Linked DNA regions of Arabidopsis thaliana. The protein of the gene in region 2 interacts with the protein of the main gene of each other region in a pairwise test. Each region holds a gene or a part of one and is shown on either strand. Other genes may lie near its edges. The genes, in order: AT3G51470, ATHB13, AT1G22190 and AT5G25475.

Region 1 (7,854 bases), on a different chromosome or scaffold from region 2:
GGGCAGTACACTTACTATGAGAGAAGAAAAGAGTTGAAAAGCTAAACCTGCAAGACAAGTAAACAACGACATATTTCAGAGAAAAAATTGTAGTGTTTGGAATTACGTTCATCCAGTTGGAGCTTATTATGTTTTCACCAGAAAGTAGTGATCACTTGTCTACGAGGAGGGCCTCGAAACTCGTCATTGTGTTTGTGCTCAAGACACCAAATGACAGCACCGACTATGAGGAAAGACGCAGCTGCAATAAGCCACATCTGGGGTGTGAACGGCCTCAAGAACGCCATAGCACTGGAGCCCAACTTCCGAACAGGAGCCACCACCACTAGCCCTGACTCCACATACGGCTGAGTAAAATCTGCCATTTTGGTTCTCTCTGTTATGATGGTGATATCACCAACACCTGCATCATAGACCTGTGAAAAAGATTTTTGAGCCACAAAATATGTCAAATACACACCCACCAACAGAGCCATCAACAGAACAGGTTCTAAAAGAGTGCTTATGTACTCACCCCAGTCGTTATCAAGCGCACAAGCTCAGAGTTACTTGGGTTGTCATGACCATTCCCAAAAGCTACAAGCTCAAATGGGACTGCGTAAGGTAATAAGTTAATAGCGGCAATGAAGACATCCACACAGAAGCCAGTGATCATCCCATTGCTTTTAACTGAGACTACCTCTTCGAACCTGTAACGATTTGGAACTCCAATCCTCAAATGCCTTCCATTGTTCGAGAACACCCAGCCACGTGGTATTTTTATTGAATGTCCTGGCCAGACAACACTATGAAGCTTCTGTCCCGAAAAAGATGTGTTCTCCATCTCGTCAGCCGGCATCACAGACAAGCCTGAATGATTAAACCAGTAACCAATAGTCGTGTAACCAGTGCCAATGACATTAAGCACATCAAATGCTGGATTTACAAGGTTTCTGTCACTAGTAAACTTCATCCTACCGGTTAAGCCAATTCTATCAACCTGTAAGATGCTCTCAAGAAATATCTTTCCTCCATCAAAGACTTTCAGAGCATCAAGGTGCAAGTTTCCACCCCCAAGCTCAGATATAATCGGATTCTTCGAAAAGGAAACGTTTCCACCTTTTTTGAAGAAATCATCAATCGCCTGAGCAAGCAGCCAGACAGTGTCATAAGCATACAGTGCATAAGTGCTAAGTCCAACATGAGTTAAGTTATGCCACCTTTGAACGAAGTTCTGCTTCATGATAGAGTTGGGAGTGTGCAGGCGCAGTGTAATGACCCCTTGAATGTTATTTATGGTGTCCAATGGGAGAGGAGAGTCTGTGTCTATAATTGTAGAAAGCCAGTTGGTAGCAATCCACACATAACCAGTGCTCATCATACCAAGATTCCGAGCCACATTGAACAACTCTAGGCCCCAGATGAAAGAAGCGTGAACGACGATAATCCTTGACTCACTCAAAGCTACCTTAATCAGCAAATCGGTGATATTCTCTCTGGTAGGTGCGGGGGGCAAAGCTGCTTTGTATGAGATTCTGCAGCGCTTCTCTGATAACCTGTCTCCCAAGGCAGCTACCCCATTTCGGCCATAATCATCATCGCCGTATATTGCTACCACCTCTCTCCAACCATAGAATTGAACAATATCTGCTATGGCGGCCATCTGAAAGAGATCATTTTGTGAAGTTCTGATGAAGAAAGGGAACTGCAGAGGAGACATAGTAGGGTCTGTGGCAGAGAAGGATAGTATAGGAATTTTTAGTTCTGTTGCAACATGAGCTACTACACGGGCGGTCGTAGATCTCTGAGGGCCAATTATGGCCACTGTCTCAGATTCCATGAACTGCAGAGCTTTTAATATGATACATAAAACAATCAGTCAGTTAACCGGATACCAGAATATGGACATGAGTATACTTGCATGTTGCAGTATCATAACCTAAAGTAGATAGCAGAACAATCCAAGACATGAAAATGAATCAGCGAGCATAAAAAGTTGATTCAAAGGTAAAGAAGACCAGAGGAGTAGAGACCTTTCGAATAATCCGTGAGCAAAACATAAAAAGGAAATGATTGAACCTCGACAGACAAACACATAATAATCATCCAATAATCACAGAGTTGTCTCACTTACGTTCCATGATGCTCATGAATCCATTGTATTTGGTGTCATGCATGATGATCCTAAGTGTAGTGGTGTTAAGAATGCTGGGGCTAGCATTGACGTCTTCAACAGCAGCATCCATAGCAACTTTGATGACTTTACCAATGAGAGAATTAAATGTGAAAACCGAACCGATGTTCACAACTTGGGGTCTCGCAGAGACAATTTTGGTGAGTCCTTGTAAAGGAACAGCATTGCAGATGATGAGCATAAGCAGAAACCACTTCATCTTCTCAATTTCAGGAGATTCCTGTTTCACAAAGTAAAAAAGAGAGGAAGGTCAAGTCACTGAATTTAGCCACCATTACGAGCAGATATAGAATGTTTGAGGGAAGAAAGATGCTTGACCTGTCACTTTCTCTCACTAAGCATGAGGCAATGGTGGAGGAAGTAATTGAGTGCCCATTATAGTAGGTGTAAAGTGGAGATCTTCTTTATGTAATGGTACTCACAGATTCAACTCTCACTCACTCAAATCCTTCATATTTCCCCCAACCCACTTCTAATCTCATATGATTACTTCCACATCACAGTGAGAAGCTCCTTCAAATACTAAACATACCACTCAGATGAAAAATCTCAGCTTTCACGCAATCAAGTTAGTGCGCAAAAAGAAACTCTCAAGTGAACACCTTTTTTGGCTTTCTATACCCTAAAAAGTGATAATTGGCTAAATGTAGAAAGAAAGAAACCCAGATTCACAAAATCAAAGCTTTTCCATAGAGACCGAGATAAAAAAAAGTGTATACCTTAAGGGTTTTGGAAATTGATTCAAAGGTTGATCAAAAAGCCAGACACAACCTTCATATTTCGTTCAAGCTTTTGTCTACTGTATAATATGTACAAGCGTGAGGACTGAGGAAGATGAAAGTGACAAAAAGAAGAAGAGAAACTAATAAAATATTAAACTTTAAATATTCATTAATCGAAATGATTTACTATTTTACAAACAGAGTTTTGATCAACAAAGAGGTATACTTATTATTGAGTTATGCTAACAGAGGGATCATCAAAACAAGTTCTAAAAGAGTGCTTATGTACTCACCCCAGTCCTTATCAAGCGCACTAGCTCAGAGTTGCTTGGATTGTCATGACCACTCCCAAAAGCTAAAAGCTCAAACGGGACTGCATAAGGTAATAAGTTGAGAGCAGCAATGAAAACATCAACACAGAAGCCAGAGATCATCCCGTTGCTTTTGACTGAGACAACCTCTTCGGAACGATTTGGAACTCCACTCCTCAAATGCCTTCCATTGTTCAAATTCTGTCATGGCCAGACAACACTATGAAGCTTCTGTCCCGAAAAGGATGTGTTCTCCAGCTCGTCAGTCGGCGTCACAGACAAGCCTAAATTATTATACCAGTAACCAATGGTCCTGTAACCAGTGCCAATGACATTAAGCAAATCAAAAGCTGGATTTACAAGGTTCCTGTCTCTAGTAAACTTTATCCTAGCGGTTAAGCCGATTCTGTCAACCTGTAAGATGCTCTCAAAATCATCAATGGCGTAAGCAAGCAGCCATACAGTGTCATAAGCATACAGTCCATAACTCGTTCACAGATTCAACTCTCACTCACTCATATCCTTGTGTCTCAGTGGAACCATCAATTCATATCTCCCCAACTTACTATCAATCTCATATGATTACTTCCACATCAAAATCAGAAGCTCCTTCAAATACCAAAAAGACCACTCAGATGATAGATACTTGAAAAAAAACTCAGCTTTTACACAATCGAGTTAGTGCGCATAAACAAACATCTCAAGTCAACACTTTTTTTGCTATCTAATACCCCTACAAATGCGAGCTTTTGCAATTGTTTAATGGCTAATTGTAGCACTATAGAGACCGAAATTCACAAAAATGTTGTCATTTTCTGTAAAGTAGATAGCAACAAACAAACCAACAAAAATCGGAGCAGAAATGAAAAAATGTACCATTAGGGTTCTCTAAGTAAAATGATACAAAGACTCCGACGACACCACCAAAAAGAAATGGGTTTGCTTGAGAGTAAAACCCAGACACAATCTTCATCTTTCGCTAATGGGAAACTAATAAAAGATTTAATTCTCTTTTATATTCAAACTAAAAAAAAAATATGGAGATTGGAAGCACACGTGGCATCCAGAGAGCTGATTGGTGAGTAAAATAAGGAGGAAGAAGAAGAAAGAAGCTATTTTTATAATTTAAAAGAGATGACTCTGACAAAAAAAGAAAGCTTTTGATCGGAATCTGGAAATGGCACCGGTGACTGAAGTTTCTCCGATGATCAACACATTGGAAGTCGCAGATGACAAAATGACGAATCTCAGTTCCTCTGGGAAACCTCCAAGAAACATCTCTGCAATGCGCCATTGCAACAGCACTGCCTGGTTGACCGATTACGTTGGTTCATCTCTTCTTTGCTTTTTTTTTTTTTTAAATTCAAATGCTTGTGATTGTAATTGCACGGTCACGAACAGATAAGATAATGTAGCTTAGATCGGATCTCGTGACTCAAAAACAATCCAAAGTTTGAAACTTACAATGTGAAAATGATTTGTTTGCAGGAAGGAGATGAGAGATTTGGTGCAAAATCTCCGGAAGGAGTAAATTCAACATTCCAGCCTGTGTTTAGATCTGGAAGTTGGTCTGATAAAGGACCAAAACAATCAATGGAAGATGAATTCATTTGTGTTGATGATCTCACTGAGTATATTGGATCATCCACTGGAGCTTTCTATGGGGTATATAAGATTTGCTTCATCGAATATTTCAAAAAAGTTCTCTTTTTTAAAATGATTGTTTGTTTATGAAGGTGTTTGATGGACACGGAGGTGTTGATGCTGCATCATTCACAAAAAAGAACATTATGAAGCTTGTAATGGAAGACAAACATTTCCCAACCAGCACAAAGAAGGCAACAAGGAGTGCTTTTGTGAAGACTGATCATGCTTTGGCTGATGCTTCTTCTCTTGATAGATCCTCTGGCACTACTGCACTCACTGCTCTCATTTTGGACAAGACTATGTTGATTGCAAACGCTGGTGACTCCAGAGCGGTGCTTGGGAAACGAGGCAGAGCCATTGAGTTATCAAAGGACCACAAACCTAACTGTACTTCCGAGCGGCTACGTATTGAGAAGCTTGGAGGTGTGATCTACGATGGTTACCTTAACGGGCAGCTATCTGTGGCTCGAGCCTTAGGAGATTGGCACATTAAGGGAACTAAAGGTTCACTCTGCCCGCTCAGCTGCGAGCCTGAGCTGGAAGAGATTGTGCTGACGGAAGAGGATGAGTATCTTATAATGGGCTGTGATGGACTCTGGGATGTGATGAGTAGCCAGTGTGCAGTGACGATGGTGAGGAGGGAGCTGATGCAGCATAATGATCCTGAGAGATGCTCTCAAGCTTTGGTTAAGGAGGCTCTTCAACGAAACAGCTGTGACAATCTTACTGTAGTGGTTGTCTGTTTCTCGCCCGAAGCGCCTCCTCGGATTGAGATTCCCAAGTCGCATAAGAGGAGGAGCATCTCTGCAGAGGGATTGGATCTCCTCAAAGGTGTTTTGAACGAGTTGTGAAGGAACTGAGAGCAAGTTGGAAAAAGGTAAGAAGAGTTACTTTATTCTTTTTTTGTTTCCTCTTTTGATAGGAAAGTCAGAGAGATATTCAAGGTTGTGTGCTTTTTTCTCTGGTTTTTCCAAGTTTTGATTGATTCCATTTTTTGTACTGTAGATCTTAACCATATTTAAATGATTAATATTTGGTTTCATAATTTAAAAATGCCTCATTGAACTGCTTCTTGAACTTGTGAGGCCTCTTTTTGGTTTGTTTGAATCCTTACCAAATATCCAAAAAATGATCAAGCAACAATGGAGCACAATCTCTCAGAAACAACCGTAGAAAAGATTTAACAGAGGGTAGATGTGCATCTGCCACAAAATAATGGATCCTAACACTAATATAACGATTGACCATCTAGGGACTGAGCCTGAATAACAAAGATGCGCATAGGTTATGGCTAAACAACCTAGAACATGCACTTCCTTTGTCTGCCATTGGTCTATCATGCCTCATGATGAATTCTACAATGGAATCACTCAACAAGAAGTAGGGATTTAGAAAGCCATTTGTCGGACCGAGTAATCATAGAATGAACATGAAGAAAGATGTGTAACTGTATCGAGTCATTTGATGGCTGTGGGAGTATTAAATCATGAGGGATCCAAACCTGAGACAATTGCCTCTAGATGGTGTCACAAGGTCCAATTTTGATACAATAAAATAAAACAATCGAAGGGAGAAAACTTTTGTCTCCGACTTGAGTTCCATGTCTTTAATTAATTGATCTCACGAAATGAATCAGCCTCTGGGCTTGTGCAGACGAGGTCGGTTACAGAAGATCCTGCCATTGGCCCTCACCAGTGCAGCCATGCCCACGCAAATTCCCGTCCACAACAATGAGAAGAACAAGTGCTTATGCTTATAATCACTCCCAGCTGCTCAGCAAATTTTACACAGTTTCAGATTAAGTTTGAAAGAAAATCTTAACTATCCAGCAAAAGAAATACCATACTTACTTTGTTTTAGAGACATTGTTGCAAACCAGAAACTCATCAGAACCACGAACAATGCCACTGGGAAGTTCTGAGACATGAAATTTACATTGTTATAAGACTAGAATTCTTTGTATGCTAATATAGTGGAAATTAGTTCTAATCTTAATTGATAAATGCTTACGGCTACAGCCTCAAGGCCTCCCTTTTGAGGTACAGGAGCCATGTCTCGGCTCACAGCAACTATGTAGTGCCCTTGCAAGAGATCAATTGCATCCTATTGCACATAGCCATATTAACTTGCGTCAGGACACATTCCAGTTACAGGGGTAAGTGACACCAAAAGTAGTCGCACACAGTTGCAACTGAACATTATTAGATGATACAACTAGAGTTACTGAGAATGAAAATTCACTGACCTGCTTAGTTCCATCAGCAAAGTTATTCAGGTAATAGCGTCTGAGGGAGCTCCAACCATCTTTAAGGACACCATGGGCAGTCCGATGCCCATACCTACAATTGAGCCGGTTAGAGACGCATTAGATTGCAATGTAGAGTAATCTACAAAACACTCCCTTATATTGCTTTATAGCCAGGACTTATTCAGACCCAAGATTAAACATATGGCAAAAGTACCTAACGAAATCTCCTTTAAGTGCAGGAGTACCAGAGTACTGAATGCTGATTTCATCACCATGATTAGCCCATACTGAAAGGCGAAAGCACATAAGCAACATGAATAAATTCGGAATTTTACATCTAAGTTCTACAATAGATTTCCTACAAAGGTAAGAGACTGACATATTTTATAGTGTTCGTCAAAATTCAGATGTGAGCTTATGGTTTCTTCAGCGCCAAAAACTCCAATCCTTTTGAGTTGAACTTCTAACATCTTTCGACCTATCATGCTCTGCATTTGGCAGGAAGTATGCAGCATGGATGAGCAAAGGCCAATATGATATTAGCTGCATCATAGTTTTCTTATGGCTAACCTGGGTAACATTTGTACGGTCTAAGCAATCTATGCAGTTTGATCGGACAACACCAAGCTGCTCCTTCATTTTCTCACCCTTTTCATTCAACAGAAAGTACCTGCGTATTTCAGAGAATGCAAAATGACGTGCCATTTTTTATTTATAATTATTCAGATTTCAAGATTACATAAATAGAAATGT
Region 2 (8,413 bases):
AGGAAATGCACATGATCCCATAAAGATTCTTGTATTAATTAATGCATAATGGCGCATTTAAATCTCTCTCATCATTTTATCGCCAACTTTAAAATATTGTGTCTTCCTCTAGGGTTTCAGATTCTGTCACATGCTTGCTTCTTCTTCCGTATAATTTTTTATAATTTTTAACCGTCATTTACTATCTTCTTCGACTCAATAATCCAGATTGTTATAAAATTATACGCTAACTTGGAATCGTGAAAAGTGGATTTAAAAGTTTGTCGTAGTCAAATTTAAATACCGACAAATCATTATAGTGACTTAAAATGTATTAATAACTATGTGGATGAACGTCATTGTTGAAGTTGATTTCCATTGGACGCTCTGGTTATCGCTGTCAATTGTCATCTGAATTAGCTTAGACTTGTAACCTTGTACGTAACATGTCAGAGATATTTTGCTTCAGTTTGATTCTCGACTATAAGAAAACGTTGTGAACTCCTAAAATATATAACCACTAAAGATGATTGTACGAATAAGTGTCGTGTCGATATAATTACGCTTCTGAGCATAATTGATGGATTTGACCTCTGAATTGTGTCCACACACCATTCATTCATTATAAAGTACTCTAGATTTACAACTTCAATAGAAACTTTGAAATATGAAGATTAAAAGAGATATTTGAAACTGATATATTTATATGGCTAGCTAGTTCCCACTTCAAACATCTACATGGTATGGATATGGAATGTGTGTTAAAGTTCATGGTATGGATTTACGATCGTTTAAACAACTTCTTATAAAAAAAATTAATAAGGATATATTTATAATTTTCTATATGTGATGTTTAAGTATTCAAATCATGAGTGGACCAAGGTAGGGGTAAGATATAAATTATTAAATTTAAAGAACTTATAGCATAACTTGTAAATTTTGGTGTATTGACCCACTATAACCATGTTCGATACTCACATTTCAGTTAATAACTATTTTTTAATTAATACTCTCTCTATTTCAAAATGTAAGAGACATTTTTATTTTGTTTCATATTATAAGATGTTTTGCAAGGTTCTATACAAATTTAAATATATTTTTATTATTTTTAACTATTTATATGCTGTAATATTTTTTATGATTGGTTAGATTTGTTTTTATTAAATACAAATCATATTTTTTTTTTAAAAAAACTATCTAAATATTTGTATTTTTATCTTAAACATCTTATATTTTAAAGTAAAGGGATTAATAGTTATGTTGTATTTAACGAATTTTGGGGTCCGCCACTAATAGATTTTTTTTTGTTTTTTACCGGCACGGATAGAAATCTTATGACATATTCTATCCCAAAAGAAATAATCAGGCAACAAGCTTTTAACTACAAAAGTTCAAAAATATACGTACCCAATAACATTTATAACTAGATAGCAAACGTAAGGAATGTTTTACCACATGTACAATTCTATGATATAGGATTTTATCATACAGACACATGCACACAAGAAGTCATTTCCTAGTTGTACAATTTATAAGTATATTACGTGGAAGTGATAAGAGTGAGCATATAAGTGTAGTTGAAGCATCCAAGTTTACAAAGGGTCCATTAACCAAAAAAGCAAAGCAAACCAAACACGGTTAGCTAAAAAGAAAATTGTACTTTAGGAAAGAAGTGGGTGATTCTAGTGGGTCGCACCAACGCATTTCGTTTGATATGTTTTGTTTTGAATTCTTATAGTCATTTAGAGACTAGAGAGATCGTGTTGAACTAGAGCTACATAGTATCATTTGCAGTATTTTTTTTAGTTAACACCGAGTATCGAGATATTTTCTTATGGACCTTTGGGTTAACACCAATAATTTTCAACATGGGGGTTTGAACATGTTAACTGTTTTGATTTTTCAAATCTAATGAAAGTTAAAATATCCTTTGATTTTAATCTAATTTAGGATTCTATAACTGGCGACACTTCAGTTCTCTGGTTTTAAAAAGTTGGCAATTCACCACTAGTTCTTTAGAAGAAAAAATCAACGGTGTTCTAGCCTACAACCGCTTTTATATATGGCGATCAATTTTTTTGGTTCAACATCGTTGAAGCCAACATTGGCCTTAGTTTCTCCACATCTTTGGGTATTAAGCAACTTTTATTTATAGATTTTGTCGCATTCTTTTGTCGCTAGCATCTTTTAAAATTTTAATTGATTTTTTCTAATGATTGGTTCAATATTTTTTTTAATAAACATAGATTGTAAGTGAGATTTCAAATTTATCACCAAAAGGAAACATCGAATTCTTTAAGAAATTTCCAAAAGTTTAAAAGTGTCGGCCATTTGAATGTGGAAGATGAAAAGGAGTTAAAAAGGAGAAGAGTCGATTAAAAAGGAGAGTGACAACTTTCCAACCCCAAATTGTTTGCTTGCTTTCTTCCAACTCTCTTTGTCCTCTTCCTCTATCTCCCTTGGAATCTGTGTGCGTCTAATGTCTCTTGCTGCTTCTTTTACTCTCATCAAATCTATAATCTCTTCTACTTAAAATCCCATATTATCTTAAAGAAATTGAGGATATCTGATTTCTTAAAATATTTTTGTGTTGATGAACCAAGACTTCTAATGGGACTATGCATTTAATATATGTCATTGATAGATGAGTACTATTTTACACGGTGACACATTATTTTAATGCATGATATGTTACTTGATACCTCATCAATATTTCTGCGCGAGAACGAATGGCATTGTCATCAAACCGGACAACAAAGGTTTTCATCAAACCAAACTCTAATTTGCTGTCTTTTTTAATATAAAAACAAACTATAATTTGCTGATAGTGATGTTAGATTTTTTTTTCTTAAAAAAAAAAAAAAGACACACACGGTGAAATGAATAATGTAACTGTAGAATAAGAGAAGGGTTATGAAATTGATGGTCTGCGGCATCGTCAGATTTAAATATCGTACGTCTTTTGTAAGGTCTCGTGATTACAAATTTCACTCGTTTAGATTTTGTCCCATCATTTTTCTTTGGTCCTTTTAACCCGCTCGACCAAATCATGACATATGCAGAATTTATTTCATGGATTTAAACAAAAATAATGATTTGTTTCATGGAAAATGTCCTTTTCATTTGTGCTATTCCATTTATTTCTTCCCACTTCTGAATATGACGACTACGACCACATGGTGCCAGTACCCACGACTAAACTATATAATATACAATTTATTTTATTTTTCTCCATACAGAAAAATGTTGGGCCATAATGATATTATTTTTTATATAATATAATGGATATTACCCATTTTTTTACATCTCATTTACTCAAAAAGTAAACAAAAAACCTCAGTGGTGTTTGGTTGCAGATTTCAAAGTGAGCTAATGATATAGATTCCAGTTTTTGAAAACATGCATGGGTTCTTCTGATCAAAATTCCAAATACAAAAAAAAAAAATATAAATTTTTTTAAAAACAAAAACAAAAAAAACAGGTAGACCAATTTCAATTGTACTGTTGCTGATCAAGCCATGGCCAAAAACCAGAATGGTCATCCATTGCACAGAACATGTTACTGATACTATTCTCTTCTTTAACCATACTCTGTCCTGAAGATGAGTTTTGAAAGAACTGCATTGTTGTAGTAGTTGTCGTTGCGGTGGCTGGCGACGGTGGGAAGAAGTGTCGACCAACTGTCTGTGGTGGCGGTGGGTGGCCACCGGTTAATGTACTGTCGTTTGATGGCGGCGCAGTTGAGATATCTAGTCTGAGATTATCTGAACTGTTATCACTTCTGTTACTGCAAGATCCTTCAGTTTCTTTGTTTAGATTTATTGATTCTGTTTGTTCTCTGTTTTTTAATCCCATTATCTGCGTAATTAAAGACAAAATTTTAAACATAAACAGAGTTACTGTACAATGTGATAAGCATAAAGAAACTATTGTTTTCAGATCTCTTTCCAGACAAGAGTGAAGAAAAAAAGAGATAATGATGTCTGAAAAGTCATGAATCATGTCCAGTTTTTTAACCCTACCTGAAAGCAACTCCTGATCCAAATAATTATAAACCAGAAATATAATTTTTAACCTTTTTTAAAAAGAAAAAAATCATCCTTTAGATGGAAAATAACTGTAATTATTGATCATTAACCCAAAAAAAAATAACACATATTGATTTTTTTTGTTAATTTATGAGATTAATTACCTCAGCTTGGAGTTTCTGATTATGAGTTTGAAGAAGATCATTTTCAGCTTTAAGTGTATCAAACTGTCGTTTAAGAGTATCATAATCTTTCTCTAGCTGCTTTGTTTTCCAACGAGCTCTTCGATTTTGAAACCAAATCGCGATCTGTCTTGGTTGCAAACCTAAGGCACGAGCTAGCTGCATTTTCCTCTCTGGTTCAAGTTTGTTTCCAAGCTCAAAGTTCTTCTCTAGTGTCTTCACTTGTTCCATGTTCAATCTCCTCTTCTTCTCTCCCATTTGTGACCCATCATCTGAATAATCCTCTTCTCCATTCATATTGTTCCCTGTTTCTAAATCACAACACCCTTCCATTGGAGATCTCTTACCTAGAAACGAAGCAAATCCTGAAACAGAACAGAACAGAGCATTAGAAAGAGATAGAGAGAAAACAGAGGAGATGTGTGTGGAAGTTTATGTATATATACCATGGAGATCTTGAGGTAGAGAGCAAGAAGGAAGAAGAGGAGCAAGAGATGGAGATTGATGAGGATGATCATCTTCGTAAGAGGTTTGGATCATGAAATTTGAAGGGAAAAAAGACATTCCATTATTACAAGACATCTTCTTCTGTTTTGCAACAGAAGTTAGTACTGTTTGCTTGAGATTTTGGTCGTTTCTCTTTAGTTTTTTCTTCTTGCCAATCTTTGTCTTAAAGCCATTATCATGGTCTTATAAATCTGAAGCTCTTTGTGTGAGAGTTTGAAATCAAATGGAAAAAAAGAAGAAGAGGAAAAACAAAAGAGAGAGAGATAGTGAAATGTATCGGCCTAGACTATACCACTTCTGGTATTTAATTTCTTCTTTATTTCGTTTTATATAGAAAGGCTGAGAGAGAGAGAGAGAGGACATATGAGCTGAGAAGAGAAAGAGACGCACTCAATTGATTCTCTCGTTAAAAAAAATAAAAATAACACGATCAAATACAAGCTTAAACTTCATTTACGTTAAGCCAAAGTATATATAATTATTAACTCCAATTTTATCTTCATTTTCGACAATCGTTTATAGATAGATATTTTTTTAACCATTGTTGGCTTCCAAGTAAAAGTGGGATCCAATTTAATTTACCCTGGTATATACTTACTCTTTAGTCTTTAGGATAGTGGATTATTGTGTGGTGCGCTGAGATTCATCTATAAATAAAATTTGCATCAGACCACAACAAAAGACACAGTTTGAACTTTGAATATGATATTGAGGTGTAATATCTACTTTTAGTTGGAGATAGAACAAAAAAAATGGGGTTAAAAAATAAATAAATGTAATTGCAGATTAAAAATCGTAGAATTGACCAAAACATGTAATCTTAGTGTTTTCGTTGTGTTATTACTCATATCAAATTGGCATAATCCTAAATATTGTTGAAAATGAAAAAAGGAAGCAAATTACAAGGGGGTTTAGCTTGCGTACAAAGTGGAAAATGAAGAGATGATAATCAAAATGGTAAGAAGAGAAAGGACTCTTCTTTTTCCCCTTGGGAGAGACATGCAGAGAGGTGTTCTCTCTCACTCATCATACTTGTCCTTTAAATTTTATCTAATAACTTTTTCTTTTATTAGATTTGTCCTTTTTTTTGTAAGTCCAATTCTCATCTTAAATCATAACTATCAAAGTTGTGTCTCTCTCTCTCTTTTTATCATCTAAATTTATTTCTAAAGAACTTAATTTACAATTTATTTTTCGCTAAATCATTTGCATAGGCTGAGAACATATGTAATAAGTAGCTAACTAACGCCTTTCATACTTCTATTGATGTAAATTAATTTCATATATATAATGATGTAGTGATATTGGGGTAGGGACGAAGCTGGATAGTGAATGGGTCCAATGTTGATCCTATTTAATCACGCTAGTACGTATGGACTATATATAGACCCATCAAATAATCGTATTGTGTCTACATGGATTGACCTAGACCTGTGGATCTAGGGATTGTACATAATTTTATTTTATTTTTTGTGGGAAGAAGAGAGAAGTGATATTATTGATTTTCAGATGTTCTATGATGCTAGTTTTGATTATTTTGATGTGAAAAAGGAAGATTGAAATATTTAACAAAAGAAGAAGATAATAGCTGCACTTGTAAACCATAGTATAACTGTGATTTTTTTTTTAGTCGGATATATAGTTACTTTAAATTTGTTCGTTTTCATTCTTCAAATAAAAACGATTGCGGGTGAATTGGAAAGATCAAGGCAGTCAGAATAACATCAGAGTTCATAAGAAAATATATTATTTTAGGTGTCCGTCTTACACCACCCACCTTATCTAATACGGTCTTCATTCAGAACCTTAGTTTAATCTTTTAGTTCAGAATATGGAACGTATATAGTTAATCTTTATAGGTAACTGCTAAAGTCTATCGCTAAAAAGGTGAAAAAGTAGAAATTAAACTAACAAAATATAGTAGTGTAGAATTTCTCTATATGTATTGTTACTTCGTTTTTATTTAGAATTCATCATTTTTGTATGAAATTAAAGTTCAATAAGTCTAAAAAGTATGATCGGTCCAAACATAATTGAAATTTGGTCTGAAATAGAATGGAAAAGCAATCACCATCTCAAAATAGCGTTTAAACGAAAAAATTATATTGAAACTGTAAATAGACTTACAATATATACAAAAGCATGGATTATACGTATGTCCATGATCAACAATCTTGTAACATGTATTTGAAATTCTAGATCATGTCTATGAGAATCATGGTACATCAAATCTGATCTCATCAAACCTATTAGCTTTGACCTAACCTATCAACCGCAAGACAGATACCAAAACGAAACAAGAAATCAATTGACTACTGGTAATGCTATATGTATATATGTAGAGTAATATTGATTGACCAATTACAAAAAAGTTATACAATTAGCAAAATAACAATAATAGGAATAATCAATAAGTATCACAAAAGTAAAATTCTCGCTAAGAGAGAAGGGTTTCTCGTGCTATGTTGGCCGATTGATTGGTATCATATCAAATGGAAGTGATGCAAAAAATTCCAAATGCATTATATTAGAGAGTTACAAATATAAAATCTAATGATGCAATTTCTTAAAACCCTTTTGTTGTTTTCCATTTATTTAAAGTTCATATATATAACAGACCTGTTATATGTTAGATAGCTTATGTACACATGAATGCATATGTGCGTGTGTATATGCATGCATAGACAGACGTATAAAGATGGTGCGTGGGGTACTTAGGTTAAGGAAAAAACCAAACAAAACTACTATTTGATTAACCCCACATAAGAGCTGTTCTATCTTGTCTCTCCCTCCTTTCCTCTTCCATTCCTTTCCATAATCAATCTTTCTTTTTATTTTATTTTATTATTTTCTTAATTTCTCTTCCCAACATCCCTTGTGCCGTATTCATCGATGATGTTTACTCTAACATCATCAACCACATAATTATTAACATTTTAACGTTCATTTTCACTTTCGATTAGACTACTATTCATTACTTTGAGACTACTTATCCGTCTCTAACTGACATTTCACGCATCACATCGTGCCGTTCTGCAATCAAAACTTTTGTATCAAAGTACTTTTACTTATCCATGCATACATATAGCTTCACAAATACCCGAATATTTATTGAATGAGTATGATTTAATTTTTATTTTGTATGGAATGTGAATGACCCAAAAAGTTATTTTTTTTTTTGGTAAGGAAAGAGAAATTAAAGAAGTTATAAACAATCTGGTTTTTAGAAGACGAGTAAAAATTGTTAATTTCAACTAATTATTTTTAGTACTCAAGTATATATTATATTTATTGGCAAAACATAAAAGATGTAAACATCTAGATACATTTTAATCCATTCGAAGAACTTAACAAAAAAAAATTTCATACATTATATTACATTCGGTGTGGTACAGATCGCACGGTCAATCAATCTAAAGATCACTTGCGGTGATTGAGCGACGTTGTATGATTTTATCCATACTTCATATTGTTTACTGTTATGATCCATTCTTCACAAGATTGACTAGACGCGATATATGTGCACTCTTATCATCAAGAAGTGAAATATAGCGTATGATTAGATATGTGAATTTAAAGGCTAGTCTTACAAGTTGCTAGCGAATTTGGAAAACTTGTATAGTCGTTTTTTTTTTTCGGTATGATCACCCAACTTTGACGTATCTATTTCAGACACTATAAAAGCATATGTTTCGATTACTGTTTATCCAAATGGAA
Region 3 (8,036 bases), about 18 Mb from region 2:
TTAGTCTTGATTCCATGGATATCAGTGGGGAGAGGCACCTTGATGTGGTATGTCCTGGTGAATTGTTTTGTTCCATTACGTTTGTTTTTTTCTTTTCAAATTGAGATTATGTGTGTGTTTACTTTGTCTGATTTTGGATTCTGTTCGTTTGTATGGTGCAGCGACATGACATTATTAAAAGGAGATTAGACTCTTCTGGCAATGTCATCGAGGCAAAACAAGACGGAATTGGTCATACTAAGGTTGGTTTTTCTATGGTTTTGAAATTTTTCATTTTCATGTGTCATCTCTGATCTCATTGCAAGAAGTTTTAAGAGATTGAAAGTGTTGAAGTTCTGTCTTGTTTGCTTCGTTATGTCTCTAATTACCTAATGTTATTGTTTATCCATAGATTGAAAAACCTTTACAAAAACATGGTGGAAGGTTGGAACACAATGAAACATACTGTGGTTCCTGTTTTGGAGCAGAAGCGGTAAGCTTCCCTAAATTATTCTAAGAATATGCTCTGACAAGCGATATTGGACTTTAAGTTGCAGTAGAGAATATTCAACTGAGTTCTTTAGTGTTGATTCAGTTAATTTACATTTTAGTTTCTTCTATGGTGGTGAAATGTTTTTTATCCTTGTTACATGTTGTGGTTGTCATTGCTTACATGTTACAGTCAGATGATGCTTGTTGTAATTCATGTGAGGAAGTTCGCGAAGCTTACCGAAAGAAAGGTTGGGCCCTCTCGGACCCTGAATCAATCGACCAGGTATACTGACGTTCCTTCACTAACAACAAAATTGGGTTGATCTTGGTACTTAGTTTGAAACAAATAGTGACACCTTGTTTGGCACTAAAATGGATATATCTAAAGAAACCATGGGTATCTGGTCTTTCGTTTCAGCTATCCCCACATCTAGTTGTATGATATTCTTACTCATCATTTCATTTCAGTGTAAAAGAGAAGGCTTTGTGCAAAAGGTAAAAGATGAAGAAGGTGAAGGTTGTAATGTTCACGGTTTCTTGGAAGTTAACAAAGTTGCTGGGAACTTTCATTTCATTCCTGGGCAAAGCTTTCATCAATCCGGTTTTCAATTTCATGATATGTTATTGTTCCAGCAAGGCAACTACAATGTAAGAAAAGTTTTATTTTTGTTTCATTCTCTCTTTATAAGCTCATATTTCAAATGGGTCTTGACTCTATTATATCATTACACAGATTAGCCACAAGGTCAACAGGTTGGCCTTTGGAGACTTTTTCCCCGGTGTAGTGAACCCTCTTGATGGGTAAAAACTCAATTATATAGCCATTACTCGCACCTGTTATCGCTTTTTCAATAATCCTATCTTCTGAAACATTCTCTTGGTTCTCTCAGTGTGCAGTGGAATCAGGGGAAACAGAGTGGCGTCTATCAATACTTCATCAAGGTTTGCTTCATTTGTACATTATATCTATAGACAATGCTCTCACCTGGGACAATAGTTTAGGTACAAAATTTTGAGATTCCTAAAAGGCTCATTATTAGCTCAGGTTACTGATAGAGAAGTACAAAGACATTAATACATTATGCTTGTTGACCAATGCAATAAGAATTTCTTTATCGGTAGCTTTTGCATGCTAGAAAGATTGTTGAGCGTAGGGATAAAGAATGGATTGTGGTGTTGAATTTCAGGTGGTACCAAGCATATACACCGATGTTCACCAGAATACAATACAGTCAAACCAGGTAAATCCCACATCCCCAAATCTCTATATAAAAATCTTTGTCATTTTCTTCTTGTAAAATCTAACCTATGAGTTTTTGTTTTTAACAGTTCTCTGTGACAGAACATTTCCAGAACATGGAAGCAGGTCGCATGCAATCTCCGCCTGGTGTTTTCTTCTACTATGATCTATCGCCAATTAAGGTCTGTTCGTTTTTTCTTTTTCTTTTTCCAAGTCGTGTTCTTAATACCAACGGAGACTATATCTCTAGAAACATTTTAACTTTTGATTGTTGGCTAGGTGATATTTGAGGAGCAACATGTGGAGTTCTTGCACTTCCTAACAAATGTTTGCGCTATAGTAGGAGGTAATCAATATATATATCCCTTCTCCATTCAATTTAAACATACCCTACTGATATGTTTATCATCAAATTCAAAACTAAAATTATACCTTTGATTTGCAGGTATCTTCACGGTATCGGGAATAGTAGATTCGTTCATATACCATGGACAACGAGCAATTAAGAAGAAAATGGAGATTGGTAAATTCAACTGAGTTGTTTGATATTCTCCACACTTTCTTGATCAGCTACTGGAGAATCATCTCTACGGGTTTTACAGTTAGACATTAGGTTTGAATTTGTGACAATGCGATGATTTAAAGAATTTTGTAGTACTGTAAGATATTCCAGGATCTGAACTTTGCCTTTCACTATTCACTATCTCTTCATAGGCAACATACAAAGTGTAAAATGTTGTTATCACCGATTGAAACGAATGTTAATTTTTCCTATTTAATTTGAGCTCATTTGTTTAAAGTGTAGTCTAAATCTGAAGATACCGATCTTGCTTTATGTTATTAAACTAAAGCCTTGTTTTTTTAAGTGTCTACGTTTGTTGATAATCAGAGAAAGTGGTTTCTTAGATTAGCTTAAAGCCATGGATTGAAATACACTAAAGTTGATTCAGGATGCTTCCTCATTTACAGTCTAAGCAACACTTCCAGAATTTAGTTATTACGAGAAGTGAGTTACATGTTTTGTAGATTTAGAAGGAGTTTTTGCAGTTTCATACCAATCAAGTTTTTATAGTTAAGGAATTTAGTTTCTTCTACTTTGATCGTTGTTCTTTTGTGCCAATTTAACTTGAACTAAGAAAATCAAGGAACTACAAAAATTACATAAGAAATCTCACACGGTCGAAGCATGCCAAAAAAAAACAGCTTGGACCGACGCAGAGATTAACACTAATTAACATCAAAGTAGATAAACTTATTTGATATTAACATAACAAACCCCCTTAATAATAATAAAATCTCTGCAATGACCAAAAACTCCATCGCAGAGAGCTCTAAAGTCCCTAAAATACCCCTATGGCAACATCTAATTTACAAGACTCGAACACTGAAGAATCGAATCCCAATCGATCTCGTACGACGGATACTTCTCCAACGCGTTCTCGTTCCACGGCGGCTGAATCTCCTCCTCCGTATCACCAAACGTCAGCTCCGACAACGGCGAAGAAGATCCACCAGATCCATAACTCTCCGTTAACAGCGGCGAAGATCCGGCGCTAGAGTAGTCCTCCTCCGGTAGTTTCACTGCGACGGTTGATGAACGTTTCCGAGAAGAAGACTTCTTCGTTGATCTCACCTGTTTCTGCGTCGTCTCAGCTAAGTTTTGACAAATAGCTTCAAGCTTAGCGTCGACTGATGATTGAAGAGGTTGATACTCGTCGTTATGACGGAGATCAGGGAAATTAAGCCGCGCAAAATCTCCTCGGAGCTTATACGCCGCCTTGTCATAAGCTAAAGCAGCTTCCTCCGCCGTGTCGAATGTTCCGAGCCAAAGTCGAGTTCGATTCCTCGGTAAACGAATCTCAGCCACCCATTTTCCCCAGTGACGTTGTCTCACTCCTCTGTATAGCTTCGTCGGTTTAGCCGCGGAAGTACCGGTTTGTTTCATTGAGACCGGTTTAGGACTAAGATGGTGAGAAAATGAGTGGAGATCCGACCCGTATGAAATTGGAGCGGGTAGAGAGAACGCAAACGCGGATGAATCGTTGGAAGGGCTTTTGATAAAAGGTAAAAGCGCTTCCATTAATTCACCACCGAATGGATCAGATTGTTGAAACGTTTTGTTACTGTAAAAATCCATAGAAGTTGTCATTTCTAATAAAAAGAAATTTTTTTCCCTTGTTCTTGTAAAAAAAGTAAAGAACAGGATTTTTTGTTTTCAAGAAAATCGAAAAAGAGGTTTATAAAATAAAAAACCTCTGTGTAGATTTCTGAGAGGAGGGAATTAAAAAAATACCCTCACAAACGATTAATTCTACAAAGAAAAAAAAACACAAGAAGATCAAAAATAAAAAAAGATTGATCTCTTTAAGAAAATACAAACCAAGAAATCAGTTTTCTTCTATACGAAAGACAGATTACTAACAGAAATGAATCAAAGTAGCGGGAAATAAACAGATCTAAGGGGGATGGATTTGTAAAGAATAAAAGTTAAGGAGAAAACCAGAAAGTATATCAACTTTTTTTTTTGGTTACACTCAAGTTTTTTTTTTTTTTTGTAAGTGAATAACTCTCAGCCTCACCGATACACTTATCTCATTAGCTTGGCTCTTGTTTATATAGGAGGCGTGGCGTGACTTCTTTTTTCCATCCTCCTCATATTTCTCAAATTTATATGTTTAATTAATTTTTTCTTTTGTTATTTTATGTACTATTTCAGATAAGATCATCCATGTTTACGTACTCCAAATAATATATATTCAATTTCAATCAAACATTGTTTGTAAGTTGAGTTTTAACAAGTTTTGTTTTAGAATGGTTAATTTTTACAAGTTAAAATGTTTCTACAAGTTTATTCTATAATCGAAGCGTTTTAATTTTACAATCATAGTTTGATGGAGAATCATTTCATTATATTACATTCACACCGGCTTTATGGGACGTTTCTTCCATAACCATATTAATCTTTTTTCTATTCAAATAGAAGTGAGTGGACGTACACAACTCCATAAATTTTAAAAGATTAGTTAAAAAAATGGTTGTCTACTCATTTAGCTAGACGTCTTTCTAAGCGGTTGAAACTAATGTACACGAGCACTTCGATTCCAGCCAAATTGATAAAATTGAAATCAACATATTTTTACGATTTATTTGGTAGAGGCGTCCAACAATTGGTCCACTAGTCCAGCTAGTAGATTTAGAATTCTTTTGTATATATGCGAAAACAAAACTTCTGAAAATTTTCAATAAAATGGAACTGAGAGAATATTAAGAATGAGATTATCCAAATTAATAGTATATATTGAAGTATATCAAACCGAAAAAGTATAAAAATAATTATTCGGAGGTTCCGAATGTGACACACGTAGACTTCATGATTGTTAAGCAATAATTTTGGCTCGCAATGTAATGATGATATCATGTTAATGAGTGGTTTAGACTTTTATTTAGATAATAAATCATACAAGATTAAAAAAGAAGGGTCTAGAGGGTTAGAATGAATGGCTGAGAACTCCTCAAATGTCAATTCCGTATTATATCATCCATTTAATTAGTTTATTAAACATTTCATCATCTTACGATATCTTATAGAGTTGCATCACTTAATTTATTGCTTCGTGTAATCGTGTACAAATGTCACTACAATCAATACGGCGTCAATTTGCAAGGTTAGACTATGGTGTCATCATTTTATAATGATCAATATTTTGAGGGAAGACGCGCATAAGGAGGTACCACCCATGTGGATGGCTCGTGTCCGTGTTACCAGTTCATCTTTACGATGCTGATTTATCTCGTTTACATGTATTATCATATGCATGTATATTTCGTACTTGCTTGCTTTGGTGAACATTGCATATGTGTAATAACTTGTCTAAGCGTTATTTTTCTTATACTTTGTTATGTATTTTTGATAAAAGTCAACTTTCAGTATTGATATCTACATTTAATGCAAAAACTGAATAAGAAAAAGACCAATTAGCTAGACCATAAATTAACCACTCATATAGCTACAAACCTATAAAACTATGGTTAAACAAATTGTAAAGAAAGAAAAAAAACTCTACGCATGAGAAAAGGGAAAAGCAAGAAAAACTCCAACGCATGATTTCATAACCGTAAGCCGAGCGTGTCCACAGGGGAAATGAAATAGTCAACTACAAAATCATTACTCAAGTCTTAGCTGTATGTAATAACTGACAGCTTTTTGCTGCCTATTTTTCTCCTTTTGAATTTTTCTTTTTATTCAAAATCATATATATATGAAAATTGGCCTACACTCTCCATATAAATGATACATCATCACACAAAAAAATGACATGTGTCATTCTATATTAATTAAATAAAAAAACTAGCAAAACTAATTGAGAAAAAATTAAAAGTCTTTTGTTGTGTTAATCTCACTCTTAAATGAATTTTCTAAAAAACATTCGATAAATAAAAAGTCATAATAATGTACCAAGCACTACTTTCATTTTATTCTACTTATTTTATTAAAAACATTTAATCAATAATCATTAATCTATAATGGCTAAAAATTTACTTGTGTTGTAGTTTAGATGTTTGCTACCTAACCTCATATTAATTTAGTAATTTTAGTTAAATATTTTATTATTATTATATTTTGTGAATTTGATTTATCATATGAACTTCTTTCGGTACATTTTGTGTGTTAAGATAATTTTGTAACATTGATATATAATTTTTTCACGTAATAGTCATCCTAGACATTAGACATACCAAAAAAACAACAACATGTGACTTTATATGATTATATGGTAGGGATAAGAATTAAAATGTTGACTTAAATTACTAGCATATCAGGATGTGATTGTGTACTAGATAACGAGATAATATATGGAATAAAGAATTGTTTGTTACAATTAAGTTAGACAAGTTTTAAAATACATAAGTAATATAACTACTTATATCAGTATATCATTTACTGTTATAGTATGTGATCATGATAGTGAAATATTAGAATAATAAATATATAAATATTCATATTGTAGTTGAATTGATATTTTGAGTTATAGATGAATCTAATCATAAAAAATAATAATTATATTAAATGGATGAATTTATCAAAATGAACATCTTTTTTTTTTGTCAAACAATCAAAATGAACATCAAAATCAACAAAAAACCATAATCATATTTTTCCGACAATTTTAAAAACAAAAATCGATGCGTAGCATGGGTGTTCATCTAGTTTATTTAAACAATAATACTTTATTAGTGTACTCTCAAGTTCTCTGACATTTTTTTTTTATTGGGGGCAAATGAAATGACTGACATTTTTGCATTGTTGTTCCTTAACTTGTCTATAAAAGTAGTTGTTTGATAGCTAGATTCACTGCATCTAAATCAAGTAATATAATAGTACATACATGTCATTTTTAGGATTTTTGAGAAATATTTGTAAATCGTAAAGAAAAAAGGTAGATCCGATTTGTGACTAATTTGGTCGAAAAGAAAAGAAAAGAAAAGAAGGTGGATCTGATTGGATTTTTGCTTTTGGTATGAACTTTTGCAATTTAATGCTCATAACGCGGTTTCCGTCAAACGCGTCCGTTTTATCTGTCGAAGTCAAACAACCGTTGCGAATCTGCCACGTGTTCACCCTCAAAGGTCCATTTTGTACTGTTTATCTGACTAGCTCACCTTAAAAGGCTTATTAAACTCCACGTGTCTTTTTGACCTCTTGACTTTGAATGATCTTACTAGTTTACAATTGTATTTTCTCACCTAATTTAATTAACACTAATACGTAAAATGAGAAATATACTCACCTAATTTTAATTTATATTAATGCATAAGATGAGAAATATAGTAGTAGTAGAACAAGTTGGTAAAATACAAATGCATGTGAAAATGCGTGTATTGGGTGAAGTGAAAGTAGAGAAAAATAGATTTGCTAATTTATTTTTCCTTTGGTGATATCGAAAGGAGGGTGTCGTTGTTTTTCGATCAGTTGCACGTTGTTCTACGAGGGAAAGAGGAATTGCATGTGGATTTTAGGTGAATTGTCTCCGTTAATTTTTGCATGACATATGGCCATTGCAGACTATTTATTATACAAAGCTTATGTGATTATGTCGTATGTTTTTGTACAAGATGGTAAGAAAAAAAGCTTCTCAAGGATGTATTTTGTTCTCATTAATGGACTTTTTACGTTGTATTACAAAAAAAACACCAATAAACAGAAACGATAAATCATACTCCATAGTATAGGACTCCTTCCGTAAACGTGCTTAAAATATACAAATTGTTATTTTCGTATTATTAAATATATTTTCTAAATTCGAAAATTTGAGAAAAAAATATA
Region 4 (8,298 bases), on a different chromosome or scaffold from region 2:
CATATTGTCTCGGGGAATGGTAAAGAAAAACTGACGAACACAAAAGAAAAGAGAGAATCTATTCGATTATCTTTGGGAAATGCTTCCATGCATCATCACTTATCTCCCCCTTCTCCAAAGTTCTAGATGTCATATGATTTCCCCACGTCTTTTATTTAGGATGATACAATTATCTATGCATTTGATCATTCGCAAGGACGATTAGCTGAATTCAATTGTATGTTAAGAAAATAAATTACAGGACTAAGTTGAAGATGTAGCTGCTGCTGATGAAAGTGTTGAATGATACAAGAAGTAATACATGATTTTATCTGATAAAATTGCTGAATGATTCAAGAAATAATTCAGGATGCGACAGTTTTGTGTGAGTATCGGTTTCTAGAAGATTTGAGAAGAGCGTGTTTAGAGGATGAATCAAAAAAGAAAAAGGACTTAAAGAGATTTGGAAGACTTGATGAAAGTGGAGTTTGATGAGAAAAAGGATAAGAGTAAATTTACTTTTTCTTATGGAAAAAGGAAATCTTCTCCTATGGTGATTAGGAAATCGTTTTGGCTACATAAGGAGGAGGTAGGACGTCTTGGAGAGGCAGGAGAGCTGAGACATAAAGACAAATCATTGAGAGCTTTCTAAGGGTGTGTGCGACATAGTTTCACGGTTTTATGCGACATAGTTTCGCGGGTTTGGTGCTTGTGTGATCAAGCTTGTTTGTTGGTGCGTGAAGGTTATTCCAGAGACTTGGAGAATTGAAGTCTAGGCTCAGAAGGAGTTTAACTCAGGGTTAGGTTATCCTGATTAAATCTAGACTCAGGGGAGTTTAGTTAAGGGTAGAGATTATCCTTAAGGTTTCACGTTTATAGAAGGGAGCGGTAAATCAAGAGGGGTGTGCTTGTTTTACGCGTTTGCGAATTCATTGTAATTTGCTTTCTTGTTCTAGTGAAATCGAAATCTGGACGTGGTCCCGGGGAGTAGGAAAAACCGAACCTCGTTAACAAATTTCTTATCTCTTTACTTTCTGCACTTTATTATTACCTCATCCGCACTTACATAAGTAGTAATCAAAAATCTCAACTAATACGATGGCGACCGAAATGTTTTTAGAAAGTTAATTTATCTACTTACATATGATCAATAATGCAAGAGTAATTAATTCCTCGCATATGAATGGAGATCAAATAGATAGTGTTTGTAGGTTCCGTGTTCGCGTATCGAAATAAAAAAATCAATTCCTAAATTTCTAGATTGTAGTTTGGGTCTTTCTCAATTTTATTGTAAATCAACTTTGTACCTCACTCTAACTATGAATTACTTATAAAATATTTCTATCAATCCTTTTCAATCTCACTAAAACCATCCAAACAAACCTACGTGGAATCAAAGTTCATATAGTATGAACATGAAGAACACTAGAAGGTCCAAAGATTCAGCCTAGATCAATGTTAGCTAGAGTCTTTTTTGTTTGTTTGTTAATTTGTTGATTGTTAGCTAATTTTATATCCCCATGAAATGAAAGATTAGACATAAAAAACCCACAACATACTTTCACACATACTAAAAAGCAAAGTGTTTGATATGCCATGTAATTCCCCAAAATAACATATCCTTAACCTTAATATATAAAACAGTGGTAACTAAAATTGGTTAACGAAAAAAAAAACAAAAATTGGTTAAGGATTGTTTTTTATTTTTTGTAAGTTGAGGGTTATTTTGAAACATATTGGCTAGTTTGAGGGTTTTCTTGCTAATTAATAAAGAAAAACGACAAAAAACAAAAAACATGGTTCTAACAATAAACCGAACAAGCGTGGTATGGTTCTATTACTAAACAGAACAATATAAAAAAACGGTTTAATTTACCCAAACGAATAAGAACAATAACCAAAAACTCCCAAATTAATTTTGCTTAAGCAGCAGCAGAAGAAGAAGCATGGCGGAACAAGAATTACAGAGAATCAATGAGAAGAAGCCATGGCAAGTTCTCGAGTTCTACAGTGGAATCGGTGGAATGGTAACAGTCTCCTTCACCTCCAATTCTATGTTTTTAGTGAAGTCTACTCTGTCTCATAAACCCTAATTCCTTTTTGCTCTTAGAGATACTCTTTAATGGCGTCAGGCATCGTCTCAGAAGTAGTAGAAGCTTTTGAGATCAATGATTCTGCTAATGATGTTTATCAACATAATTTCAAACATCGTCCCTATCAGGTTGCTTAATGCTTATATATGATATAATCAATAGAAGCATTGTTACATTTGCAAATCATAGATGATGCTAGTTCTGTGACTTAGTCCATGATTAGTTCTTATTGTTTTGGTTGTTTTTCATAGGGGAATATTCAGAGTCTCACTGCTGCTGATTTAGATAAGTATAATGCAGATGCTTGGCTTCTTTCTCCTCCTTGTCAACCTTATACTAGACAAGGTGATTCATTTCACTGTTGTTTTCTTTACTATCAACATGACTTGCTTTTGGATACTAACAGTTTTTTTTTGGTTAGGCCTTCAGAAACACTCTGGTGATGCTCGGGCTTTTTCGTTTCTCAGGATTCTTGAGCTTATACCGCATACAACAAAGCCTCCACAAATGTTATTTGTAGAGAATGTTGTTGGATTTGAGGTATAGTGTTTGCTTATGCTTCCCAGCTAGAGTACTTGTTCTCGATCATCTTCTTTGAAGTCGTGACATTTTTGCTTATTGGTGGTGTTTGTTGGTGCAGACTTCGGATACACATATGGAAATGATTGGTACATTAACAAAATTAGATTATGTCACACAAGAGTTTATATTGAGTCCGCTGCAGTTTGGTGTGCCGTATTCAAGACCACGTTATTTCTGCCTGGTACTTTCTCTTTACCTTATGATTGCGTAGTGCATATCTGTGTACCTAAAACTGTTAATTTTAGTAGTCTGAGAATGTATAAGTATATGCTGATTATGAAACTTTCTCATGTAGTGTGCACTTTCTCATGTATATGCGTTAATCTTTTTGTTTTAGTTAAAACGTCACTAACTTTGAAATCATTTGATTTACCTGGTGTCTTTGTAGGCCAAAAGAAAACCTCTGCCATTTAAGTCCCAACACAGTAATAACAAACTACTCTGGTCTCCAGACCCGTTATATGGGCGTGATGATCAGGTTGAGTTTGGAAAATGTCAAGCAGAAGAAGGATTGGATAAATTACTTGAGTTTTGCAAACCAGTAGAGAAGTTTCTCGAGTTAGCTGCACATGTTGATGGCGAGCCAAGTAGTGTTGATGACTCTGAAAATGGGTCCAAAGATTGTTGTGGACAAGAAGGCGATTCTGTCCCAGACTCTGTACATCAGTATCTAGTACCAGTTAGTTTGATAGAGAGATGGGGAAACGCAATGGACATTGTTTACCCTGATTCAAAGAGATGTTGTTGTTTCACAAAGAGTTATTATCGATACGTGAAGGGCACAGGTTCCCTATTGGCAACTGTCCAGGTACGTTCTTCCATGGAGTATACAATATTACTTTCCTCTGTATTTGCAAAGTGAAAAGAAATGCTTATCGTGAATCTGTGATCACGCAGCCAAAAATCAAGGGTAAGGAATCTTGTTTGAAGGAGCAACGGCTTAGATACTTCACCCCTAGAGAGGTTAAGCACTGTCCTTTACTTTTACTACTAATGCCTCACTGAAAAAGTCAGCTTTATTTCATTGAAAGATGATGTTCGGTTTCTATTTGTTTAGGTAGCTAACTTTCACTCATTCCCTGAAGATTTTGAGTTCCCCAAGCACATAAGCCTTCGACAAAGGTACGCTGTTCATACCGTCAACACCATCTAAGCCAGAAAAAGCTACTGTCTATATAGATTATGTGCATCCAAGTATAACAGAGGCACCGTTTTGATTCGAATATAGAATTTAACCCATAATACCCTTATTTCTCCCGTACTTCCTGTTTGAAATGTGGAAATAGTTGAACACAAGAACATGAATCTCATGAACTCCTCTTTGTGCAGATACGCAATGCTTGGAAACAGTTTAAGTGTAGCAGTGGTGGCTCCTCTGCTTCGGTATCTATTCGATTCTTGACTACACAATTTGATGCACTAAGTGACGCGACCAATTACCGGAATCAGTTATTCTCCTGAACAAGCTTCTACTACTTTTTTGTTTACTGATAAAGTTCAAACTGATGAACTTACGTTTTGTTATCGATCCTTAACTTTATGGGCCAGTATTTTAAATGGGCCTTATTCGGCCCGTTAATCATAATTTCTTACCCAAATTTCCGTAAAAAGTGACCATAATATTGGCATGAGACATGAGTCTTTTGACTGTCTCTCTCTCTCTCTCAGTCACTTTAAATTATTTGAGCAGCCGCAGCGAGAGGAAGTTTTCTTCAACTGCGACGGAGCGTGAAGTTCACGCTCCGGCGGTACTACCTAAGGTTTGTCGTTAGGGACGTTACTTTTACGTTATTACTTGCTTCTTCGCCACTTTTCTTCATTTTTTCCGACCAGAGATATTTTGTTCCTCCTTGTACGTACAAAGTGTTTGTTCTTTTTTTACTTTTCCAATTTTTTGGCTCTAATTTTATGAACAAATGCAAGTAGGTCATCATACAAACCCTAATTTTGCAGAACTGATCCAGCTTTGAAAAGAAAAATGTTGCCTAAGAATGCTATTGAGAAGATCCAAGCAAATGTGAGCAAGCCTTGCTTCTGGAAGTCTCTCTCTCCAGGACAAACTTGGAAATCTAAATCCATGGTAACTTCAATTATGACTCACTCCTCCTTTGATATTTACTCACTGTTCTTAGACTCTTTCTATTGAATTTGCTTTGTTACAAGTTTATAGCTTTGGATGTTGTTGCTAGAACAGTAAGATGTGATAATCCTTTCATGTTTAGTTTAGCCCTTTTATAGACAAGTTATTACAGAACTACCCGTTTGTTGTTGTTTGAAAAAGTTCAGATCTTTTCTTCTTTTAAGAAACTTTGGAGACATTCTAATGGCACAATGCCTCCTCTGCTTCTTGCTGCTTGGTCTTCATTTTGTTACTTATTGACCTGTTTTAGCTACCGTTATGGGTACTTTTACGTCGCAGGTTTCGTTTGCCCTTAGCTCATGTTTATGCTAGTGTTGGTTCTAGTCCTTTTCTCTGCATTTCTTGACCTACAATCCAATCTTTTAAGCTCGTGTTTTTGCTGCTTGTGTTTTTTCTGTAGAAAGTTATAACTTTTAGTCTCATGTTTCCTCTTTTGAATGTAAGTATTGTTTTGTTGATTTCTGGGTTTATTAAGAGGATAATTCCGGAAGACTTTGTGAGAAGAACGCGTGGTGCTTTTGAGCACAGAGTGGTGTTTAGTGTTCGTTGGGAAAACTCCTGGCAACTCTGGCTGGAGCGAGAGAAGAACGAGCTGTTTATGATAGAAGAAGATTGGAATGAGTTTGTAGACGACAATCATTTAGGTCCAAATGATAATCTGTTCATCAAACACGATGAGACGATGAATCTTGAAGTGCAAATCTTTAAGAATAATGGGGTTGAGATCATTGATGTACCTCTTGGAGTTGAACCCGAAACTGAACCATTTCATCCTACGCCCAAGAAACCTCACAAGGAGACAACCCCTGCCTCTTCCTTTGCCTCTGGCTCTGGCTGCTCTGGTAAGGCTATTCAGATCGATAGAATCATCAAACTCCAAACTATCATTTGTTCTCTATGCCAATGTTTGATTGGATTCTGTTTTGGTGGAATTCTCAGCAAATGGAGGGACAAATGGCCGAGGAAAACAACGTTCTAGTGATGTCAAAAACCCTGAGCGATACCTCTTGAATCCTGAAAACCCTTACTTTGTGCAAGCGGTGACAAAAAGGAACGACGTTCTGGTAATAATACAAGTGTTTACATTGTCAGCTTTTTATTCCATTTGTGGCCTAGAAAGCTAAAGCTTGTCTTTGTTTCCTGCTGTATGTGCAAGTATGTGAGCCGACCGGTGGTTCAGAGCTATCGCTTGAAGTTTGGTCCCGTTAAGTCCACCATTACCTATCTTCTTCCCGGGGAGAAAAAAGAGGAAGGCGAGAATAGAATCTATAACGGGAAACCTTGTTTCAGTGGCTGGTCGGTTCTATGTCGGAGGCACAATCTGAATATCGGAGACTCCGTGGTTTGTGAACTTGAACGCTCCGGTGGTGTGGTTACCGCTGTAAGAGTGCATTTCGTCAAGAAAGACTAGACCAATCCTCTCTAGTAACAACAATATGTTATTTACAACTTTCTGTAACAATGCTAAATGTGTCAATTATGTGTTAGTTTAACAAACTTGTCAATTCACTTGCAATCGAATCGATTCTAGAGTATGATGGGCCAGTTTCTAATATGGGCCATATCCGGCCCAATAATATTGTTTGACCATTTTATTATTTCCATACACAGTACACATTTGACACTTGTCACAGTGCTGTTGACTGTTGAGTCTCCTCTCTTTCTGAAAGCAGAGAGATTCGATTTGGAGAACAAGGGCTGAGAAGAGCAGACACAGCAGCGAGAGGAAGCTTCTTCGACTGCGACGGTGCGTGAATTTCATGCTCCGGCGACGTTACTTTTGACGCAATTACTTGCCTTTTACGCATTTACTTTGTTCTGACTTCTGACCTAAGTTTTTTTCCCCTTTGACCGTACAAATTTTGCTTCTTTCTTCGTTTTTCTCTGTGTCTCTCATTAGTCACCATTTTCGTGTTCTCTGCTTTGTAACACTTTCGGGTTTAGCTACTGAAAGTAAGAAAAGCGAGATAACGCATTAAAGGTTTAATTTTTATCCAGTTTTACTGTTTCACTGATTTCATTACATGCAAGTCATCTTCGTCTTTGTTTATGAACCCTAATTTTGCCGAATCCATCCAGCTTTTGAAGAGAACAAGATGTTGCCTAGGAATGCTACTGATAAGATACAAGGAAATGTGAGCAAGCCTTGCTTTTGGAAGTCTCTGTCTCCAGGACAAAACTGGAAATCTAAATCCATGGTAAAACAAAATTAGTCTCTCTTCTTTTCTAATCTTTCGAAAATGTAGCTCCTTTGATTTTGTACTCACTGTTATTTCCATTGAACTTCTTTGTTTGCTCTAAAGATCTATTGTTCGTTTGTTGTTCTTGTTCGAAAAAGCTTTTGATCTTTCAAGAAACATTTGAGGAGATTTTAATGGCACAATGATTCCTGCTTCTTGTTCTGCTTGACAAGCTCGTGTTCTGCTGATTGTATTTTAGCTTTTAGTCTCATGTTTCCTTCTTCTAATGTCAGTATCGTTTGTTGTTGTCAACTGTTATGATTTCTGTCTTTATGAAGAGGAGTTTTCCGGAAGAGTTTGTGAAAAGCACGCCCGGGGCTTTTGAGCACAGAGTTGTGTTCAGTGTTCGTTGGGGCAATTCTTGGCAACTCTGGCTGGAGCGAGAAGAAAAAGATCTGTTTATGATAGAAGAAGATTGGGATGAGTTTGTGGATGACAACCATTTAGGCCCAAATGATAACGTGTTCTTCAGACACGATGACAAGATGTTTCTTGAAGTGCAAATCTTTAAGAATGATGGGAACGAGATCATCGATGCACCTCCTGAAGTTGAACCTGAAACTGAACCATTTCATCCTACTACACCAAAAAATTCTCACAAGGAGACAACCACTGCCTCTGCCTCTGCTTCTGCTTCTGGTATGGCTATATTCAGAATGAAAGAATCGTTTTGATGCTCTTCATACTCAATACTACTCTTTTCTTTTCTCTCAATGCCAAAGTTTGCTTCTTTTTGTTTCTGTTTTGGCAGAATTTTCAGACAATTGGCGAGAGACACATGGTTGTGCTGATATCAAAAACCCTGAGCTGTACCTTCTAAACCCCAAAAACCCTTACTTTGTGAAAACGCTGACAAAAGGGAATGACGTTTTGGTAATAAGAGCAGTGTTTTCATCAGTTTTGATTCTAGTTTACGTTTGTTGCCTCTAAATCTAAGACTTATCTTTCTCTCTATTTCTCATGTACAATGTGCAACTAGTATGTGCCCAAAACAGTGATTAAGAAGTATGGCTTGAAGTTTGGTCCCCATTTGTCCCCCATGCATTACCTTCTTCCCGGAGATAAAATAAATGGCTCCACTAAGATCTATGGCGGTGGCAGTGCCCCTTGTTTCAATGGCTGGGTGGACCTATGTCGAAAGTACAATCTGAAAACCGGAGACTCTATGGTTTGTGAACTTGAACGCTCTGGAGAACTGGTTACTGCTGTTAGAGTGCACTTCATCAATAAAACATGAGATGAGTCCTCTCTAGTCTCTTTTCTT

What was found.
Region 1: the proteins of ATHB13 (region 2) and AT3G51470 interact in a two-hybrid assay, tested with the Arabidopsis thaliana proteins (one large-scale study listed by BioGRID).
Region 3: the proteins of ATHB13 (region 2) and AT1G22190 interact in a two-hybrid assay, tested with the Arabidopsis thaliana proteins (one large-scale study listed by BioGRID).
Region 4: the proteins of ATHB13 (region 2) and AT5G25475 interact in a two-hybrid assay, tested with the Arabidopsis thaliana proteins (one large-scale study listed by BioGRID).

Annotation. Positions count from the first base shown.
Region 1 is NC_003074.8:19,095,774-19,103,627, reverse strand, and holds AT3G51470 (Protein phosphatase 2C family protein), read left to right. Parts: upstream 1-4,352; 5' UTR 4,353-4,383; coding exon 4,384-4,530; exon of another isoform or gene 4,531-4,679; coding exon of another isoform or gene 4,680-4,694; coding exon 4,695-4,871; intron 4,872-4,942; coding exon 4,943-5,704; 3' UTR 5,705-5,906; downstream 5,907-7,854. Other genes in the region: GLR3.6 (glutamate receptor 3.6), read right to left, coding at 16-47, 139-416, 515-1,830, 2,114-2,372; RHD4 (Phosphoinositide phosphatase family protein), read right to left, coding at 6,486-6,622, 6,704-6,770, 6,864-6,956, 7,099-7,192, 7,316-7,388, 7,481-7,589, 7,672-7,771.
Region 2 is NC_003070.9:26,255,524-26,263,936, reverse strand, and holds ATHB13 (Homeobox-leucine zipper protein family), read right to left. Parts: upstream 5,150-8,413; 5' UTR 4,772-5,149; coding exon 4,636-4,771; intron 4,555-4,635; coding exon 4,172-4,554; intron 3,838-4,171; coding exon 3,472-3,837; 3' UTR 3,156-3,471; downstream 1-3,155. UniProt on the Arabidopsis thaliana protein: Probable transcription factor that may act in the sucrose-signaling pathway.
Region 3 is NC_003070.9:7,832,069-7,840,104, reverse strand, and holds AT1G22190 (Integrase-type DNA-binding superfamily protein), read right to left. Parts: upstream 4,325-8,036; 5' UTR 3,861-4,324; coding exon 3,075-3,860; 3' UTR 2,694-3,074; downstream 1-2,693. Other genes in the region: AT1G22200 (Endoplasmic reticulum vesicle transporter protein), read left to right, coding at 1-47, 162-242, 392-472, 662-754, 940-1,119, 1,205-1,272, 1,362-1,413, 1,659-1,712 and 3 more.
Region 4 is NC_003076.8:8,865,827-8,874,124, reverse strand, and holds AT5G25475 (AP2/B3-like transcriptional factor family protein), read left to right. Parts: upstream 1-4,303; 5' UTR 4,304-4,414; exon of another isoform or gene 4,415-4,607; 5' UTR 4,608-4,632; coding exon 4,633-4,734; intron 4,735-5,044; coding exon 5,045-5,095; intron 5,096-5,194; coding exon 5,195-5,636; intron 5,637-5,733; coding exon 5,734-5,858; intron 5,859-5,950; coding exon 5,951-6,205; 3' UTR 6,206-6,328; downstream 6,329-8,298. Other genes in the region: DNMT2 (DNA methyltransferase-2), read left to right, coding at 1,926-2,006, 2,090-2,200, 2,324-2,417, 2,494-2,612, 2,713-2,835, 3,043-3,462, 3,552-3,617, 3,712-3,776 and 1 more; AT5G25470 (AP2/B3-like transcriptional factor family protein), read left to right, coding at 6,891-6,992, 7,313-7,673, 7,786-7,907, 8,014-8,271.